Linked DNA regions of Ovis aries. The protein of the gene in region 1 interacts with the protein of each later gene in a biochemical or structural test. Links are inferred from orthologs where the notes say so. Each region holds a gene or a part of one and is shown on either strand. Other genes may lie near its edges.

Region 1 (5,859 bases):
ATAACTAAGCCTGTGTACCACAACTATTGAGTCTGCGGTCTGGACTTGGAACCACAACTACTGAGCCCAGGAGCTGCAACTACTCTATAGCCCATGCTCTAGAACCGGTTCTCCACAGCAAAAGAGGCCACTGCAATGAGAAGTGTGCATACCACAACTAGAGGGTAGCCTCTGCTCCCCAAAACTAGAGAAAAGGCCAAGCAGCGACAAAGACCCAGCACAGCTGTAATAAAATAAACCATAGTTCATATGCTCTAGTCTCTTGTAATTACTATTGATACTCAATATTGTCACGTCTTGGATGAGTGGGAACCTTTTCAACTTGACTCTCAAGCTTTTGAAATGACCACTCTCGCCTTTTGAAGCCCTTTTTAGGTCATATAATAAGAATTTTCAGTCTTGTGTGTTTCCTTCCCCTTTAGTAATGGTGATTCGAGATCGCAGTCTGTGCGCTGGTGTGCTTATTGCTACTAGGTTGGTTGTCATGTAGGTCTCTCCAGTTTTCATGTAGGATCATTATGTTGTAATGTCTTCGATTTTATATACTTTATCTCTTTTCTTTTATGCCTAAAACCTTTGTTCCTAACTACATCTTCCCTTTTTGAAATCCTGTCTCTGCTCCTCTTCCAAGCCACTGTGCTCTAGTTTGCTTCATGTCGTATTGGCTGCTGCTTTCAGATGCCTTTTATGGATCCTACTCTTTAATCTCTAGCTAATGAAGTGACCCAGAGTCAGTCTTGGACAACTTCTTGACTGTGTGCTGTCCCATTATTTTAGATATCATCTCTAAATAAAGTCTATCTGCCATAATTCCTTAGACTTTTATCAACATCTACCCCAAGCACTAAACCCCTAACTTTCGCATCTCCACTCAGAAGTCCAGAAAGCATTTCAATCTGAATATGTTTACAAAAGACTCATTTTTTTCTCCCCATACTTGCGGTCCCTCTGTCCGTTTTCATAAGCCCCGCTCTTCTTGCGCATTGGTTGCTATATATTACACTGAGAAGGCAGCCTAGAGTGCTCTTCTTAAAATATAATGCACATCGTGGCATACTTTCACTCTTCGACCCTTCAGTGGCTTCTTAGCACACTTAGAATGAAATCTAATCTTGAATAAAACCCAAGCTCCTCACAGTGTCACCTCTGTAAAGCAGTTTCTGCTCTTCATGATGCTCTTCATGGAATAGCATGGGGAGCTAACAGAGTGTATCCACAACCTAGAAAACAGTTTTACTGGCATAAAACCTGTTCAACCGTCTGAACTCTGAGTATACTTGTCCTTGTGAAAAAAAGTGTTAAGTGTATTATGATTTACTCTTGAGTTTTTCCATTAATAGGCCTTATAATCTTTTTTTAAAATTTCATTTTCTGTTAATGCTCATAAAGAATATCTATAATAAGCACCAAGTGAAAGTGAAATCGCTCAGTCATGTCCAACTCTTTGCAACCCCACGGACGGTAGCCTACCAGTCTCCTCAGTCTATGGAATCTTCCAGGCAAGAATACTGGAGTGGGTTGCTGTTTCCTTCTCCAGGGGATCTTCCCGACCCAGGGATCGAACCCAGATCTCCTGCATTGCAGGCACATGCTTTACCATCTGAGCCACCAGGGAAGCCAAATAAGCACCAAGGTTGAAGAAAATTTATGGTAGAAAAATGAAAATTGATCAAAATGGCTTAGGTATAGCCCACCCTTATTCGGCTATTGTATGGAGTATCCAGCTGGGAAAACCTTGGCTTTCCAGAGTTGTATTAATTAAAAAATTACATTGGACAAATGTAATTTTTTCAAAACATGAACCACATCTTCAGCACCTTGACTAGAATTTAGGGTATTGGCTTTCCAGGTCCTGTTTTCAGTTAGGAAGGCTGTGTGTCAGGGTCAGCTATTTCCATAGATAACTCATTTTACTCATATTGCAGATTTTTACACACATCTTCTGATCATGTCCTCAAATAGCACTCTGCGGAAGGTACAGCATAATCTGTTCAACAGTTGAAGAAATCAAGACATAGAGGGGTAAAGTGATCAACAGAGGCAGTTAGGAAACAGAAGAGCCAGGGCACTAAAACCCGGGCTGTCTGAGTATACACTCCTTGCTCTTCCTCAGTCCTTTCCTTGCCTTTCTGTTGTCACTTAGGAAGTAAGCTACTTGGTCAAGCACTGTTTTAGTATGTTTTAAGTATATTTCCATGAAAAGTGAAAGGAAAGTTGCTCAGTCGTGTCCGACTCTTTGCAACCCCATGGACTATACAGTCCGTGGAATTCTCCAGGCCAGAATACTGGAGTGGGTAGTCGTTCCCTTCTCCAGGGGATCTTCCCAACCCAGGGATCGAACCCAGGTTTCCCACATTGCAGGCAGATTCTTTACTAACTGAGCCACCAGGGAAGCCTCATACTTAATTATTGCCCCTGTCAGATTCTGCACAAATTATTAAGCACAAATTAGGTATGTTTCCTTGTTCTTACTTAATTAGAGCCCTTTTCAGATTCAAATACTTCTCATAGTCACTCTATGAGATGGCTATTCCCATTTTACAGGTGAAGAGGTTTAGAGGGACTTCCCTGGTTGTCCAGTGGTTAAGAATTTGCCTTGCAATGAAGGGGACATGAGTTTGATTCCTGGTTGGGAAACTATTAATAAGATCCCACATGCCACCGAGCAGCTAAGCCCACGTGCCACAATGAAAGATCCAACTAAGACCAGTTGAAGAAATTTATATATATGGAAGTGAGGCTTAAAGACCTTAAGTAATTTGTCCTAGACCACCCCACTGGTAAGTGTAAGAACCATTTCTTGGATCCAGGTCTTCCTCACTCCCTGGTTTGTGGTCTTCCCGCTGTTGTGCTGCCTCTCTGTCTGCTATCATTTTCAGTCCATTTTGAATCACTTGCTAGCTGTTGTAGATAATTTTTGCCTTTTTTTTTAGGTTACTCTATATTTGTTGTTAAGGGTGATCTGCCAGATTGTGAAGCTGACCAACTTCTACAGATGATCAGAGTCCAACAGATGCATCGACCAAAACTTATTGGAGAAGAATTAGCACAACTTAAAGAACAGAGGTAAAGCTGAGCCTGCAGTGTGGGGTATATGATAGTATTTCATTACAAGAATTAAATTTACATGAAGATGTGGTCCTTTTATTCTTGGTGGGTTTTTTTTTTAGACCTTTCTGTTTAAGTGTAGCTTATTGGTTTAACCTTGGATCAACTCTCTGAATTATTTAAGTATACTTCCCAACACAAATTCATGTCACAATAGGACCTTTGTATTATTAGATGTTATCTGCAAAAAAAAATGTGTAAGTTTTCAACTTACATAAAAATCTTTGGTTTATAAATGTCTCTATGTTATAATTACAATAAAAGAATGGTCTGCAGTTATTATTTGTGCTTTTATTCTTCAGAGTCCAGAAAACAGGTCTAGAACGCGTCTTAGAAGTAAATGATGGGACAGGAGTGTTAGACGAGGATGAGGAGGACTTTCAGAGGGCTCTGGCACTAAGTCGCCAAGAAATTGACATGGAAGATGAAGAGGCTGATCTCCGCAGGGCCATTCAGCTCAGTATGCAAGGTATGGACATTCCAACACTTACTTTATTTGTTGTTGAAGCAATTGATTTAGATCATTTTTAGTTCTTCTGGAAATGAATATACTGTTGGTAGAAGTTCTTTGACAGTCACAGAAGCAGTAGCTATGTATAATCAGTTATTGGTTTTTTTTAGATATTATTTAATACATATAATGTTTAATACATATAACATACATATAACTTTATGACTTGTGTTAAATTAGGACTAGTTATATTTTCATTTCTGGTCATTCAGTTTGGTTATAATATGGTGCAAACACAGTACTAAACGGAGCTAATCATTGTGAGGTCAGTGGACCCTTGCCAAGACCAGCTATTTAAATGCATTATAATGGCTGTGAAGGAAGGTCTGGACAGAGACTATAAATTGATTTTACAAAACTCTAAAACTTACTGGCTGTGGAACTTTTGGCTTAAGCTCACTTTGGTGGGCTCACTCTTTTAGCCCACCACACCTCTTCCCCCACCCACTCCCACCCCAGGGAATCCAAGTAGAGGGAAATGTCTAGGACGTTGCTCAAAGGGGCTTACTTTAAAAGTGTAATGGGTTTTCTTTTTTGGGGGTTGTTTTGTTTTTGTCTAATATGAATTTGCCTTCTACTTTCTAATGAAATTACACATCAATTGAATTCCTTAAGTATCTAAATAAAATTGAGTTTCTGTTAATATGAAAATTATCCTTTTTATGCTATATTTTATTCTGAACTGCTCATGCCTCCTGGCCACGTCTGAGTACTCTGTGTGGTGCACAGGCCCATTTTGGATTAGCAGAGTCCTGCTAGGTTAGCCCAGTGGTGGACAGACACAGCCTTATTAGTTTTAGACATTTTTGTGTCCTTTACTCTTCTTCCCACGTTATTTTACAATTTGTACAGAATCTGATTGGAGCAATAATTTAGTAAGAACACAGAAACATACTTAAGTTATGTCAGTACCCAGATGTTTGAAGATAAAGGAATATACAGAGTGGGTTTATTTTACAATCATCCACTTTAAGTTACTTCTAGGAATTCTGTGCCTTCAAAAGTGTAGATTGATTTCTGGGACTTCCCTGGTGGTACATTGGTTAAGAATCCTTCTTGCAAAGCAGGGGCCATGGGTTCGATCCTTGGTCAAGGAACTGAAATCCCACATGTCTCAGAGCAACTAAGCCCGCAAGCGCTACAACTAGAGGGTCTGTGTGCCTCAAGCAAAGATCCGCCATGGTGCAAGGAAGATCCCACGTGCCGTAGCTGACTCAGTGCAGCCAAATAAATAAATTTATTTATTTTTAAAAAGTGTAGATTCATTTCTAATAAGTAGAGAGCAAGCACGTGTGGTGCTAGTTGTTTCTCCTGCCAGATGGCCACTGAACTTACCTCACGTCCACTGTGTCACAGATTGATAGTAGGCGTGGCCGCAGTGGACACAGGTGCGGTTGAACTACCTTATTCTGATTTTCCCTGAACCTTTCAGAGCCTTTCTTACATTTACAGAATGGTGCAGAGTAGTTTTGAGAAGAAAACTTTTTGAAAGCTCCTTCACCTAAGTATAAACACGTCGTGACGTGGTAAATAAAACTGGTTTTTGTTGTGTTTTATTCGGTTTTCAGGTACTTCCAGAAACAGATGTCAAGATATCCCACAGACATCGGGTTCACATCCTACTTCAGAAGAGCTGCGGAAGAGAAGAGAAGCCTACTTTGAAAAGTAAAGTAGTTGGTACCATATTAAAACTGCAGATTTTATCTTTACCTTGGCCGTTTTGTCTATTTGTAGCCATATAGCTTTGACCTAACCATTCATTTTATTTAGAATTCCCTCTAATACTGAAATCAAATATGGTTTTAGGAGAAAATTTTGCCTCAGTACTAATTAAATTTTCATGAAATAGGGTGAAGGAAGCCTTGTAAAATTTCAGTCATCAAAAGAAACATGGAATTGGATCAAGGCAAGAACAAAGCCCTGTGGTCCTTTGAATATACTTCCTGGTTACCTGACTAACCCTACAAAGTTCTGTCAGTTAATAGGAAAAACACCATTTATCATAGGAGAACACACTCTCAAATAGAGCTGGTGCTTAACCACTCTGCTCGTTACCACACCCGGGGATGGAGGGGGTTGGCTGCCGCAGGCCCGTCAGCATCGGGGCGCATGAGAGTAACCGTAAATCTCAACCATCAGCTCCTAGGACCTAAGTTTGTCCTAGCTGTATAAGTGCTCTCAAAATAGAAATTTCACCCATATCGTTATCCTTGCCAGTAACAGTCATTCACAGGTCTTCA
Region 2 (5,859 bases), on another chromosome or scaffold:
TGCTGAGCACCTCCGGCGGACCAAGCAGGGAGCCAGCTGTGAGGACACAGTCCAGCTCCCACAGCGTCTACGTCTTTCAGGGAATGAATTCTCCCATCGCCACCCAACTGCTATCACAACGTAAACATCTCTCCCTCAGCAGCCCCCTCAAAGCATCACCCCAGCCTTCCTCCACACCCCTCACATGAGGACCAGCTGGAACATCTGGGCCAGGTTGGCCTTAGGCTTCCAGCACCAGAGGCGGTGACAAGCTGTTTAATATTCTCTTGGCACTGAGACCTCTCTGATGAGAGTTCCTTGTGCTGTGTTCACAGGTGACTGCTGGCTGCTGGCCGCCATTGCCTCCCTCACTTTGAATGAAGAAATTCTGGCTCGAGTCGTCCCCCTGGACCAGAGCTTCCAGGAGAACTATGCAGGGATCTTCCACTTCCAGGTAACTTAATAGTTGGCTCAAGCTTCACATCAGGTCCTGGTTGTTGTTCAGTTGCTCAGTCATGTCTGACTCTTTGCAACCCCATGGACTGCAGCACACCAGGCTTCCTTGTCCTTCACTATCTCTCGAGTTTGCTCAAACTCATGTCCATTGAATCAGTGATGCCATCCAACCTTCTCATTCCCTCTTCCTCCTGCCTTCAATCTTTCCCAGCATCAGGGTCTTTTGCAGTGAGTTGGCTCTTTGCATCAGGTGGCCAAAGTATTGGAGCTTCAGCTTCAGCATCAGTCCTTCCAATGAATATTCAGGGTTGATTTCCTTTAGGATTGACGGGATTGATCTCCTTGCAGTCCAAGAGACTCTCAAGAGTCTTCTCCAACACCACAATTCAAACAAGACCTGGGGGCCAGGATCATGTCCTGGGTACTAGGAGCAAGTGTGGAGGTTAGAATGGATCCTGGGGGCCAGGAGCAGATGCTAGGGGCCGAGGACAATACTCTTCTACTAAGGACACTGAGAAACATCAGGAAGCTCCCTTGCCTGCCACCAACCTGGGACCCTGTAAGGACAGCAATGGCGAGGAGGGCGGTAGGGCAGGGTTCTCAGGAAGTGGTTCCCAAGTTTTTTTAAAAAAGTGTGCTATTTAGGATCTGAGACAAAACATTAAGGTATGGCTCACTGTCCTCCTTGTATGCTGGTAAATGAGAAATAGTATTTTTTAAAGTATAAGGTGCAGGGTAGAGGGTGGGAGGGGAGGGTGTGGCCTCAGAGGGAGGGGCAAGCATGTGTCCTTGGTTTCTCAGTGAGGATGTACCTGCAGGAAGAGGGCTGGAGGAAGCACCTCTTCCCAGGGTGGGCTCATGGAGCCTACGCCCAGGGCCTCCTACGGGAGAAGCCAGGTGCAGCTGAGGCTCAAGGGGTGGAAAGGACCCCAGGCTGCCGCCTGCCACCAGGTCCTTCTCCAGGCCAGCCCTCTCTCTCCCTGCCCTGCAGTTCTGGCAGTACGGCGAGTGGGTGGAGGTGGTGGTGGACGACAGGCTGCCCACCAAGGACGGGGAGCTGCTCTTCGTGCACTCAGCAGAGGGCAGCGAGTTCTGGAGTGCGCTGCTGGAGAAGGCCTACGCCAAGTAAGTGCCCGCACCCTGCCCCTGCCAGCCTGCCCCCAGCTCCCCTGCATTCTGGAAAAGACAGAAACTATTCAAGGACGATTTTGAAAAAAAAAAAAAAAAAGTCCTATACTACAGAAGGACTACTCTGGACAAAACTGGGCTCGAAATTCGAGGAGATAATGCACATGGCTATTGCCATTTTTCACCAAATGCACAGGAACACGTTACGGTACTGATCGTGCTGGCCTTGAGGACATCTACTTCCTTGGCAGGTCATGTTACATTTTTGTCAGCTAAATACAGCAAAGATTTTTTGCCAAATGAGCAAAACAATTCATTGCAGAGGTATGAAAATTATGGAAATTTGCCCAGAATACATAATATACTGATTAGAAATGGTTTTCCCCAGCCCCCCTAGGTGCATCCCCCACAGGCTGCCTTGTCCAGTGCTCAGCACTGCCTGTTCTCAGCAGGAACCCACCCCCTACCACCATCTGTCCAACCCCCTGCAGAGTGTGCCCGGTCCTGGCCCTGATGCCTGGGCTATCTCTGGGAAAATGAGCAGCTCTCAGGCACCAGGAGGATTTCTGTTCTCCAGCCCCTGCCAAGGAGGAGGGCCAGGAGTCAGCCACCAGCTGTGAGAAGCTGGGGCCTGAATTGCTGCTAAGTCTACACACAAGCAGTAGAGTTAGGGAAGCCACAGGGCACCAACGTTGTGACCAGGGCGCCATCAGGAGCGACCAGCACCTCCTAAGACAGTGCCGAGGATGCTCAGGGAAGCTGCTTTCATTACTGAACCGCTGTCCCCTTTTAAGCTATAACCGCCAAACAGCCCATTTAGCAGACCCCTTTCCTGCCAGGATGCAGAGAGAATCAATACAGGAGGTTGGCGAGATAAACATCCAGGTCCTTCCAGCCCTAAGGTTCTATGAGACTTTTCCAAATATTTCACAAAGTACCAGGCAGTGGTAACCACATGGACAGTCACCTGCCCTCATGGGCAACCCGAACTGGAGACAAACCAAGGAGAGACTGAGCAGAGGGTCCCTGGAGCATCCAACAAAAGAGGCCTGAGTTGGGCGGGACACTTTGAGAAGTGGAAATTTCAACTCCGGTGGCCACAGTGTCTCTCCCCTTCCTGCAGGATCAATGGGTGTTATGAAGCACTTTCGGGGGGCGCCACCACCGAGGGCTTCGAGGACTTCACTGGAGGCATCGCCGAGTGGTATGAGTTGAGGAAGGCCCCTCCCAACCTGTTCAGGATCATCCAGAAGGCTCTGCAGAAAGGCTCTCTCCTGGGCTGCTCCATCGATGTAAGTCCAGGCCCCTCCCTCCCCAGCAGAATCCTAATCTGCTCTAGTGGAAGTGAGCTTCCAACAGTGACCAAACAGACCCACTGCCCTTACTCCCCGCACAACTAGCCCATCCTTTGTCCACCATATTGCACATCACCTGGAGCCCAGGGGTGGCTAGGCAACAGTCAGGCTGGCTGGGGGTACAACTGGTGCCCAAATGGTGACTCCAGCCTCCAGCCGTTCTCTCTCCAGCCCACGTACAACCCTCATCCTCCTGTGACTCACCACCCAGATCACAGCTTCCGTGAGAGTCCCCTGCCCTCTGCTGGGCCCAACCCCATTCACCTTCAGCCCACCTGCAGGGCCTGTGCCCAGAGACCAGCAGCCTCCCCCCAACTGGTGCAGGGTTAGCAGACCTGTAGGAAGACTTTAGGAGGCACAGAGAGGAACCGTCCCCTCATGCTAGCCTTGCTGGCACACCTCGCCACAGGAAGGGAGGTGGGTGTGACATCCTGTCCGCAAGGAGCCGCCAGGCTTTGCCTGTGCCCAGCGGCAGGGAGGCCGTCCTTTGCCTGTCCTAACCAGGAGGAGCTGGTTGCTCTGGGATCAGGCATAAGAAGCCTGGCTCTGGCGGGTCCAAGTCTGTGTGCAACTCTAGGCAGGGATTTGCAGACCTTCTCTGCAGACCATGTCCAGGCAGAGACCCTTTCTACTAGCACCCCTTCTCGTTGACTCAGACAAAAATAACCACCTCCATCACAACAGATGGGGAATAGGATCCCTGGGGAAGCCTTAATAGACAGACGCCAATTCTGAAGTCAGGCAGAAACGGAGAACTGCTCTCGAGTAAACCCTGCAGCGGGGCGGGGCAGGGCGATCCGTGCGGTTTCCAGAGACCCAGCGCATTTGGACCGCCCAGGTGTGTGCCCTGAGCCCCCTCTGCACGGCGTGCCCTTTTCCTGCGGGAATTTGTGACTGCGCGGGGCACACACACGAGTGCAAGTGCGGCGCCCCCCGAGGGCTGCTTGCAGCCTCTCCTCTGGTTGTAAATAACAGCGGGAGGGCTCTGGGCGGGAGTGGGGAGGCTCTCTCACCCACCGCCCAGGACCCCCGCCCTGCAGTAGGACCCGAGCGAGGGAGGGAAGGAGGGAGAAGGCGGGATGCGGAGGCCGGACTGATTCTCCCGCGTTTGCAGATCACCAGCGCGGCGGACTCGGAGGCCATCACGTTCCAGAAGCTGGTGAAGGGGCACGCGTACTCGGTGACCGGCGCCGAGGAGGTAACGCCCGGCAGGCATTCCTGGGGATCTTTCCCTCCCTCACCCGATGGCAGAACCACTTTTTGCCTGCTTGCCGAGGGTGGGGCCCCGCGTTCCCGGTCCTTTCCCAGCAGCCCCGCGTTGCTGAAGTTCAGGCCTCGCGACGGGCGGCCCTCCCCAGCGCCTGCCGGCCGCGCGCTGCCCTCTGCTGGCCGCGAGTGGGGCCAGGCGCCGTGCCGTCAAGTTCCAGAATCGCCTCCCTCCTCCAGACCAGCTAAAGACAACACGACACTGCGTCGTGTTCCAGCCTCTTTCAAGTGCTTTCACATTTGATCTCACAAAAGCATTGGTGCCCCAGTTAGTGTTCAAATCTGACTCTGCCCCTTGCACGCTGTTGGCCTGGGCAGGTGTTTAAACTCTCTTCTGCTCCCCAGTTTCCCAAAGTTGAATTAGAAACAATAATACAGTGATACCCGTTGTAAGGTTGTTGAGGTGACTCAAACGAGTTAAAACTTGTAAAGTGCTCAGACTTCCTGACAAGTTGTGTATAAACAAATCGCTCAAAAAAAAAAAATCGCTCTCTTTGACTTTGCGGCTATCATTACTACGCTGCTGCTGCTGCTGCTGCTAAGTCGCTTCAGTCAAGTCCCACTCGTAGCGACCCCATGGACTGCAGCCCACCAGCCTCCTCCGTCCATGGGATTTTCCAGGCAAGAGTAGTGGAGTTGGGTGCCACTGCCTTCTCCTATCATTACTACAAATGTTGTTAGATAGCCATATTCTAATCACTGAATGAAGAGTAGATCCCAGGTCGGCTGACATACCCAGTGCGGTTTTTTGTTTTTAACCTTGAATCTTTGTTTTATCCAACTCCCCGCATCTTTGTATTCTGAAAAATTTCAAGTCTACAGAAAAGCTGAAAGAATCCTACAGCAAACATTCAAATGCTATTTCCCTGGATTCAACAATGGTTAAGATTTTCCACAGCTGTCTCATCGCTTAGGGTGTACTTTCTTTCTGAGCCATTTGGAAGGAAATCGCAAATGTCACAACACTTCACTCACTCCTGACACTTCAGTATTTATCTCCTGCCCACAGGGACACTGTTTACATAATCCCAGTACTGTTTTCATCCTGAAGAAATAAACATTAATTCAATAATGTGATGCAATAAACAGTGCATATAAACATTTCCCCAACTGCTCCAAAATGTCTTTTATAGCCTCCTCAACGCCCTCAGTCCAAGGTTTAGTCAAGATCCATGTACGGTGTTTGCTTGTCGTCACCAGTGTTCATTTGACGGAGCTCCTGTGACAAAAGTACATCCTATTATAGTCAGCTGAACGGAGGTTCAAAGGTGACGTGCCAGTGCAGAGCCCACAACAAGGGCGTTTGTGCCTCAGGCTCACAACAGAGGTGGAAGAGCCCTGGTCCTCTGAGGGCTAGATCCCGGGAGCTGCCACAAGCTGAGCAGCAGCGAGGGTCTAGGGGTCAAACCCTTCTCCCTTTTGTGATCCCCCTTGTAACATGGCTCCCATCCCTGCCTCGTGGAGAAAGGGGCTCTGGGCCGGAGAACCTCCAGGCCTGGCTTGAACTTAGCATCTCCCTCCTCTCCTTCACCCACCCGTCCTTCAGGTGGAAAGCAGAGGAAGCCTGCAGAAGCTGATCCGCATCCGGAATCCCTGGGGAGAGGTGGAGTGGACCGGGCAGTGGAATGACAAGTGAGAAGGGTGGTGGGGGTCTGGGTGGGGGGCGTCTGTCCAG
Region 3 (5,859 bases), on another chromosome or scaffold:
CCCCATAACATCTTTCTGGGTCATCCCCATGCACCAGCCCCAAGCATGCTGCATCCTGCGTCAGACATAGACTGGCGATTCAATTCACATGATAGTATACATGTTAGAATGTCATTCTCCCAAATCATCCCACCTCTCCTCTCCTCTGAGTCCAAAAGTCCGTTATACACATCTGTGTCTCTTTCCCTGTCTTGCATACAGGGTTGTCATTGCCATCTTCCTAAATTCCATATATATGTGTTAGTATACTGTATTGGTGTTTTTCTTTCTGGCTTACTTCACTCTGTATAATCGGCTCCAGTTTCATCCATCTCATCAGAACTGATTCAAATGAATTCTTTTAACGGCTGAGTAATACTCCATTGGGGGCACTTAGTTTAAAAGCTTTAAGCCTTTAAACTTTTTCAGGGCTGTGACATGGTAGCACTCTTGAATAAGGTTTACTTTGCAGAACAATGTAGGACATTCTGAAAGTGAAAGGAGTATATTAAGACTTCAGTTGCGTTTCCCTGGTGGCTCAGTTGGTAAAGAATCTGCCTGCAGTGTGGGCGACCTGGCTTATATCTCTGGGCCAGGGGAGATTTCCCCCCGAGATGAAAATGGCAGCCCACTGCCGGATTCGTGCCTCGAGAATTCCACGGGCAGACGAGCCTGCTGGGTTGCACGGGACCTGCAGTCCATGGGGTGGCAAAGTGTTGGACGCGACTGAGCGACACACACACAGACAAGACTTCAGTTGGGAGGCTGTTGCAAGAATCAAGATGTGATTGATAAGCATCGTGACTGGAGGAATGCAACGGAAAGGCCAGATGCAAGAAGAGACTTGGAGGAGGTGGATGGCATTGGCAGCAAGAAGACATGGAGAGGCTGCAAGGCTCCAGCCTGGGTCTTGAGGAGGATAGTGGCTCCAGGAGAAATGGCGTCTTTCAAAAGAAGGGGCAGATGCATGTTTCCGTGAGACCCAGTGGAGCCTTTTGGCTGGGACCGCCAGTGATGGCTCGGGCTCTTAGACACAACCTGGTGCGTCTTCACTCTAGTTCAGAAAGTGGCTTGATTTCTTTCCACTGCTGTACCATGAGTGCTGACATGACGCCTTTGATTTTTTATTAAGGGGGATGCCGTAGAGGCAGTGTGAGTTTGTACAGGCTGTCAGAGCTGAATCTCCTGGATAAACTCTTGGGAATCTCACAATTCCAATCAAGCAAGTGTTCTGCTTGAGTCCCCCTGTTTCGCAGGACGATGTCAAAGGGAGCATGCAATTTTGTTTGTGGGTCACTGCCTAATATATGAAAGGGAAATCCCATAGGATAACTCCATTTTTCTCCAAATGTTGCTCCATAGCCTTAAGCTTTATAAGTGAAAGAAAATGCACACTGCTTATCAAAGGGCAGGAGAGGGGCAAATCAATTCAGAAATATTGCACTGCCATTAAGGATTGCCATTAAATGCAATTGCCATTTAAGGGTTTTGACTAAAGCTTCGTGTGTTGTTTTTTTTTTTTTTTGGTCCAGTGTTTGTCAGGTTCAACTCTAACCACGGGTTCCCAGTGGAGGTCGATTCTGACACCAGCATCTTCCAGCTCAAGGAGGTGGTTGCTAAGCGACAGGGGGTTCCAGCTGACCAGCTGTGTGTGATTTTCGCAGGGAAGGAGCTTCGGAATGGCTTGACAGTGCAGGTGAGTCTCCCTGGGCGGAGGGTTCCTGGGCTGCGGCCAGCCCCATTGCTTATGCCGCTTGCGCAGCCAAGCTGACATTCATGCCTGAGATCTAATAGAATAAATAGTGCCTAGGGATTCCTTGAACTTTACTCCACACCGCTTCATTAATTCTGACCTTCTTAATTATGCATTAAAACAGCAAGCAGGTACGGATTGGAGAACAACTGTGACTGGGAGAGAGAAGAGAGAGAGAGCGAGCACACAGACTGGGCTTAGTGAATAAATGTTTACTGACTAGAGGAGCAGCAAGGCACCGTTTCTGGGTCTGTTCAATTTCTACCGTACTTATTCCACTTGAATCTTAATGAAGGAGTCACAGAAATTGTCCCAGATCCGGCTGCTCAGTCACTGTGCCGGGAGGGATCTGCAACCCAATTGTGACCCCTGGAGGATGGTCCCGGGTCTGCCGCCGCAGCTCAGGATGGGAGGAGGTTTTGGGGCTCAGGGCCTTGGAGCAGATTCGCGAGCTCCCTGCCCATCAGCGCCCGAGGCGGCGGGGAGGAGGACGCACGCACCGCGAACGTCAACCTGTGTGTTTAATTTCTCCAAGTTTCAGTAACAAGTTCCCCAGAATGGGCCGCTGAAATGTTGGGGAGGGTGCAGCCAGTGTTTTACTCTCCTGTCCCTGACGCTTTCCTGGCACCGTGGGGCTCCTCATAGCATCACAGCGCTGTATCTTTTCATGGAGTGGGGGTGGGGCTTCATTCCCAGCTGGTATTTCCGCAGGGGAAGAGGTGAACTGGGCAGGCCATTGGGGAGCAGTGCCTTCCTCTGGGAGTGGAGACCAGTCTTGTGTTGGGGAAGCCAGCAAACAGGCCCCAATACGGATTGAAGTCACTCTCTGAGAAAGTATGAAAACCCACTTGCTTTCTGTGAACTGTTCAGGTGATCCTGAAGAACCCCAAACACATTCCCCGCGTCCCCCTTTTTTCACCAGCTCAGATGAGTTGCATTTCTGCCTGCAGCTGTTTGGGGGCCTGCTCTTGTGAACAGTGGTGGTGGTGGGGTGCTGTGTCTTTACCCAGTCCCTACTTTATTGACATCCTATGGCTGTCTCTTTTTGGTGATGATGTTTACTGCTTTAAGAAAGGCTTTCGGATCTGGGTGTAAGAGAGCCCTATGGAAATGTGAATTGCCCCCTCTTCTCCAGCACCCCTTCTCTGACAGCAGTCTGCTCTGCTCCGTGCACACAGGGTGCTGTGCTTTGCTTTTAGGCAATTTGTGTTTATAAGGGAAGCACCTGTGCTGAAAAGTGTTTTGGTGTTTTTTTTTTTTTTTTTTTTTTTTAAATTTCAGTCACCTAGAAAGCTTTTTTTTACTGTACCTGCCAAGCTCTAAAACCAAGGATGTTCCCATCATAAATTATTTTAAAACAGCTTCTTGAACCAAAATATTTTGTTATCCGAAGTTTTCAGGTTCTAAAGTTTCTCACCTCTACCGCTGGAGGTGATAGGTTATACCAATTACTATAGACAGTTGATTTCTACAGATGGATAGATACAAATATAGATATCTGGATGGGTTCATTAAGATTCTTGATTTTCACAACACTTCCAGTATTCTGGGCTTCTGAGAGGATCCCAAAGAAAGTCAGTACCCACTGCTATTTTCTTAGAGACTGCTGTTGACTTAGGCCCTCTAAAATCAACAGTAATACTAGATTGAACTACATAGGTTAAAAATATCAGCAGTTTCATGGGGCTCAAACTAATAGCTATAACATAAGGGTGTCAAACACGATAACTGCCATATAAAAACTGAAATATAAGTATTATGAAATTTTAAAGATGTAGGAGAAACAGCTGAGTGAATGTCACCAATAAAGACTTCAGGGTGAGTTGAAACTCAAGTAGGATTCTGGAGATGAAGAATGAGCGTGAGAGGTGTGTGGGAGCAAGCAAAGGGTCCTATTCCTGTAGAACCTAGAGGAGGTGCTGAAGGTGTGTGACAGGGGAATTGGGAGCTGTGTTTTAGAAAGCTTTGACCCATGTGACATTGACGTTTCATGCGAGGAGATGGAGAACAAAATAGGATGCCATGGAGGGAAAAGCGAGTCTGGAAATGCCGGTTCACCACTGGCGGGAGTTTCCCAGATTGCAAGAGTTAATGCCAGGGGGAGATGCTGGCAGGCAGTCACACTGAGGTGGGGAGCTCAGGGCTTGCTCTGAGCACTCTCTGCATGGAGGTAAGTACCGCAGTGACTGGAACAGATTCAGTTGCCGGGGTGCAGAGCGTACGGCACGAGCAGTTCCTCCGGTAACAGGAGAGGAGCCGATATACGAGGCATTGTGCATCCAGCTGGCATTTTCATGGATAATTTGGGGAAAGAAAATCACTAGTAAAGAATGTATGTGCCGTGAAAACATGGAGGACAAGGAAGCAAAGAGCCTTTGGGCTTGGTGACAGTGGTGGTGACTTAGGGGCTTTCGGGCCAGGACTGTAGCTGGAGAAAGTCAGCTTGCAGGGGTTCAGTGTGAATCGCGGGCTTTGTCACAGGCACAGCTCGTCTGGTCATGGAGGGAAGGAGAGACTGGGAGTTCATGGAGGAGCAGCAGCTTCCGCACTGTGTCCTGCCTTTCACAGCCCTTGACTGTGCGCATGGCTGACTTTGATACAGTTGTAATCGGTGTGAAAATGCAATTTTATGTAGTGAATTTCTTTCCCTGAACATTATGTCGAGAGAAGGCAATGGCACCCCACTCCAGTGCTCTTGCCTAGAAAATCCTGTGGATGGAGGAGCCTGGTAGGCTGCAGTCCATGGGGTCACTAAGAGTCAGACATGACTGAGCGACTTCACTTGCATTTTTCACTTTCCTGCATTGGAGAAGGAAATGGCAACCCACTCCAGTGTTCTTGCCTGGAGAATCCCAGGGCTGGGGGAGCCTGGTGGGCTGCCGTCTGTGGGGTCGCAGAATGGGACACGACTGACGCGACTTAGCAGCAGCAGCAGAGGTAGGAGTGGGCCAGGTGTTTTCCAGAGAAAGTGGAGTTCCATCCCTGAGAAGATCCCCCAGAGTAGGAAGTGGCAACCCACTCCAGTGTTCTTGCCTGGAGAATCCCAGGGCTGGGGGAGCCTGGTGGGCTGCCAGAGCCTGGTGGGCTGCCGTCTGTGGGGTCGCAGAGTCGGACAGGACTGAAGCGACCTAGCAGCAGCAGTAACATTATGTCAAAGGCGTCTTCCCTGGTGCTGTGTATTCATTTCTAAGTGCCTAGATGATCCTCTGAAATGAGAGTGCTTATGTTATATATAGGGAGCATCTAGTTTTTAATATTACAAATTAAGGCAAAATAATTTTTTAAATGGTCTCTAATATTCTTAGAGAATATGGCCTCTGTGTTTCAGTTTGCATGAAGTATTCTCTTGGTGTGTCCAGTTTTCTTGAAGAGATCTCTAGTCTTTCCCATTCTTTTGTTTTCCTCTGTTTGTTTGCATTGATCACGGAGGAAGGCTTTCTTATTCCTCCTTGCTATTCTTTGGAGCTCTGCATTCAGATGGGTATATCTTTCCTTTTCTCCTTTGCCTTTTGCTTCTCTTCTTTTCTCAACTATTTGTAAGGCCTCCTCAGACAACCATTTTGCCTTCTTGTATGTCTGTTTCTTTGGGATGATTTTGGTCACCATCTCCCGTATGATTTTATGAACTTAATAGTTCTTCAGGCACTCTGTCTATCAGACCCAATTCCTTGACTGTATTTCTCACTTCCACTGTATAATTGTAAGGGATTTGATTTAGGTCATACCTGAATGGCCTTGTGGTTTTCTCCACTTTCTTCAATTGAAATATGAATTTTACAATAAGGAGCTGGTGATCTGAGCCATAGTCATTTCCCCGGTCTTGTTTTTGCTGACTGTATAGAGCTGCTCCATCTTTGGTTGCAAAGAATGTAATAAATCTGATTTCGGAATTGACCATCTGGTAATGTCCATGTGTAGAATCTTCTCTTGTGTTGTTGGAAGAGGGTGTTTGCTATGACCAGTGTGTTCTCTTGACAAAACTCTGTTAGCCTTTGTCCTACTTCAGTTTACTCATTTGTAAAACTGAATTAATAATAATTCCTCTCTCATTGGGATTCTGTGAGGGCTAAGTTAATTTATGTAAAACTCTTAGAGCAGAGTGTGACATATAGTAAACACATATATTA

The links. The genes of interacting proteins can lie anywhere in the genome.
Region 2: of the proteins of ATXN3 (region 1) and CAPN2, one has a biochemical effect on the other in vitro, tested with the Homo sapiens proteins (2 studies listed by BioGRID). The link is inferred for Ovis aries from reciprocal best matches to the Homo sapiens genes ATXN3 and CAPN2.
Region 3: the proteins of ATXN3 (region 1) and PRKN form a complex in vitro, tested with the Homo sapiens proteins (4 studies listed by BioGRID and IntAct, with this or other methods). The link is inferred for Ovis aries from reciprocal best matches to the Homo sapiens genes ATXN3 and PRKN.

Annotation. Positions count from the first base shown.
Region 1 is NC_056071.1:54,580,167-54,586,025, reverse strand, and holds part of ATXN3 (ataxin-3), read left to right. Parts: intron 1-2,933; coding exon 2,934-3,066; intron 3,067-3,410; coding exon 3,411-3,577; intron 3,578-5,187; coding exon 5,188-5,284; coding exon of another isoform or gene 5,285-5,288; intron 5,289-5,859. UniProt on the Homo sapiens protein: Deubiquitinating enzyme involved in protein homeostasis maintenance, transcription, cytoskeleton regulation, myogenesis and degradation of misfolded chaperone substrates.
Region 2 is NC_056065.1:26,347,831-26,353,689, forward strand, and holds part of CAPN2 (calpain-2 catalytic subunit), read left to right. Parts: intron 1-314; coding exon 315-433; intron 434-1,426; coding exon 1,427-1,560; intron 1,561-2,686; coding exon 2,687-2,855; intron 2,856-4,032; coding exon 4,033-4,116; intron 4,117-5,730; coding exon 5,731-5,816; intron 5,817-5,859. UniProt on the Homo sapiens protein: Calcium-regulated non-lysosomal thiol-protease which catalyzes limited proteolysis of substrates involved in cytoskeletal remodeling and signal transduction. Proteolytically cleaves MYOC at 'Arg-226'.
Region 3 is NC_056061.1:85,692,244-85,698,102, reverse strand, and holds part of PRKN (E3 ubiquitin-protein ligase parkin), read left to right. Parts: intron 1-1,511; coding exon 1,512-1,675; intron 1,676-5,859. UniProt on the Homo sapiens protein: Functions within a multiprotein E3 ubiquitin ligase complex, catalyzing the covalent attachment of ubiquitin moieties onto substrate proteins. Substrates include SYT11 and VDAC1.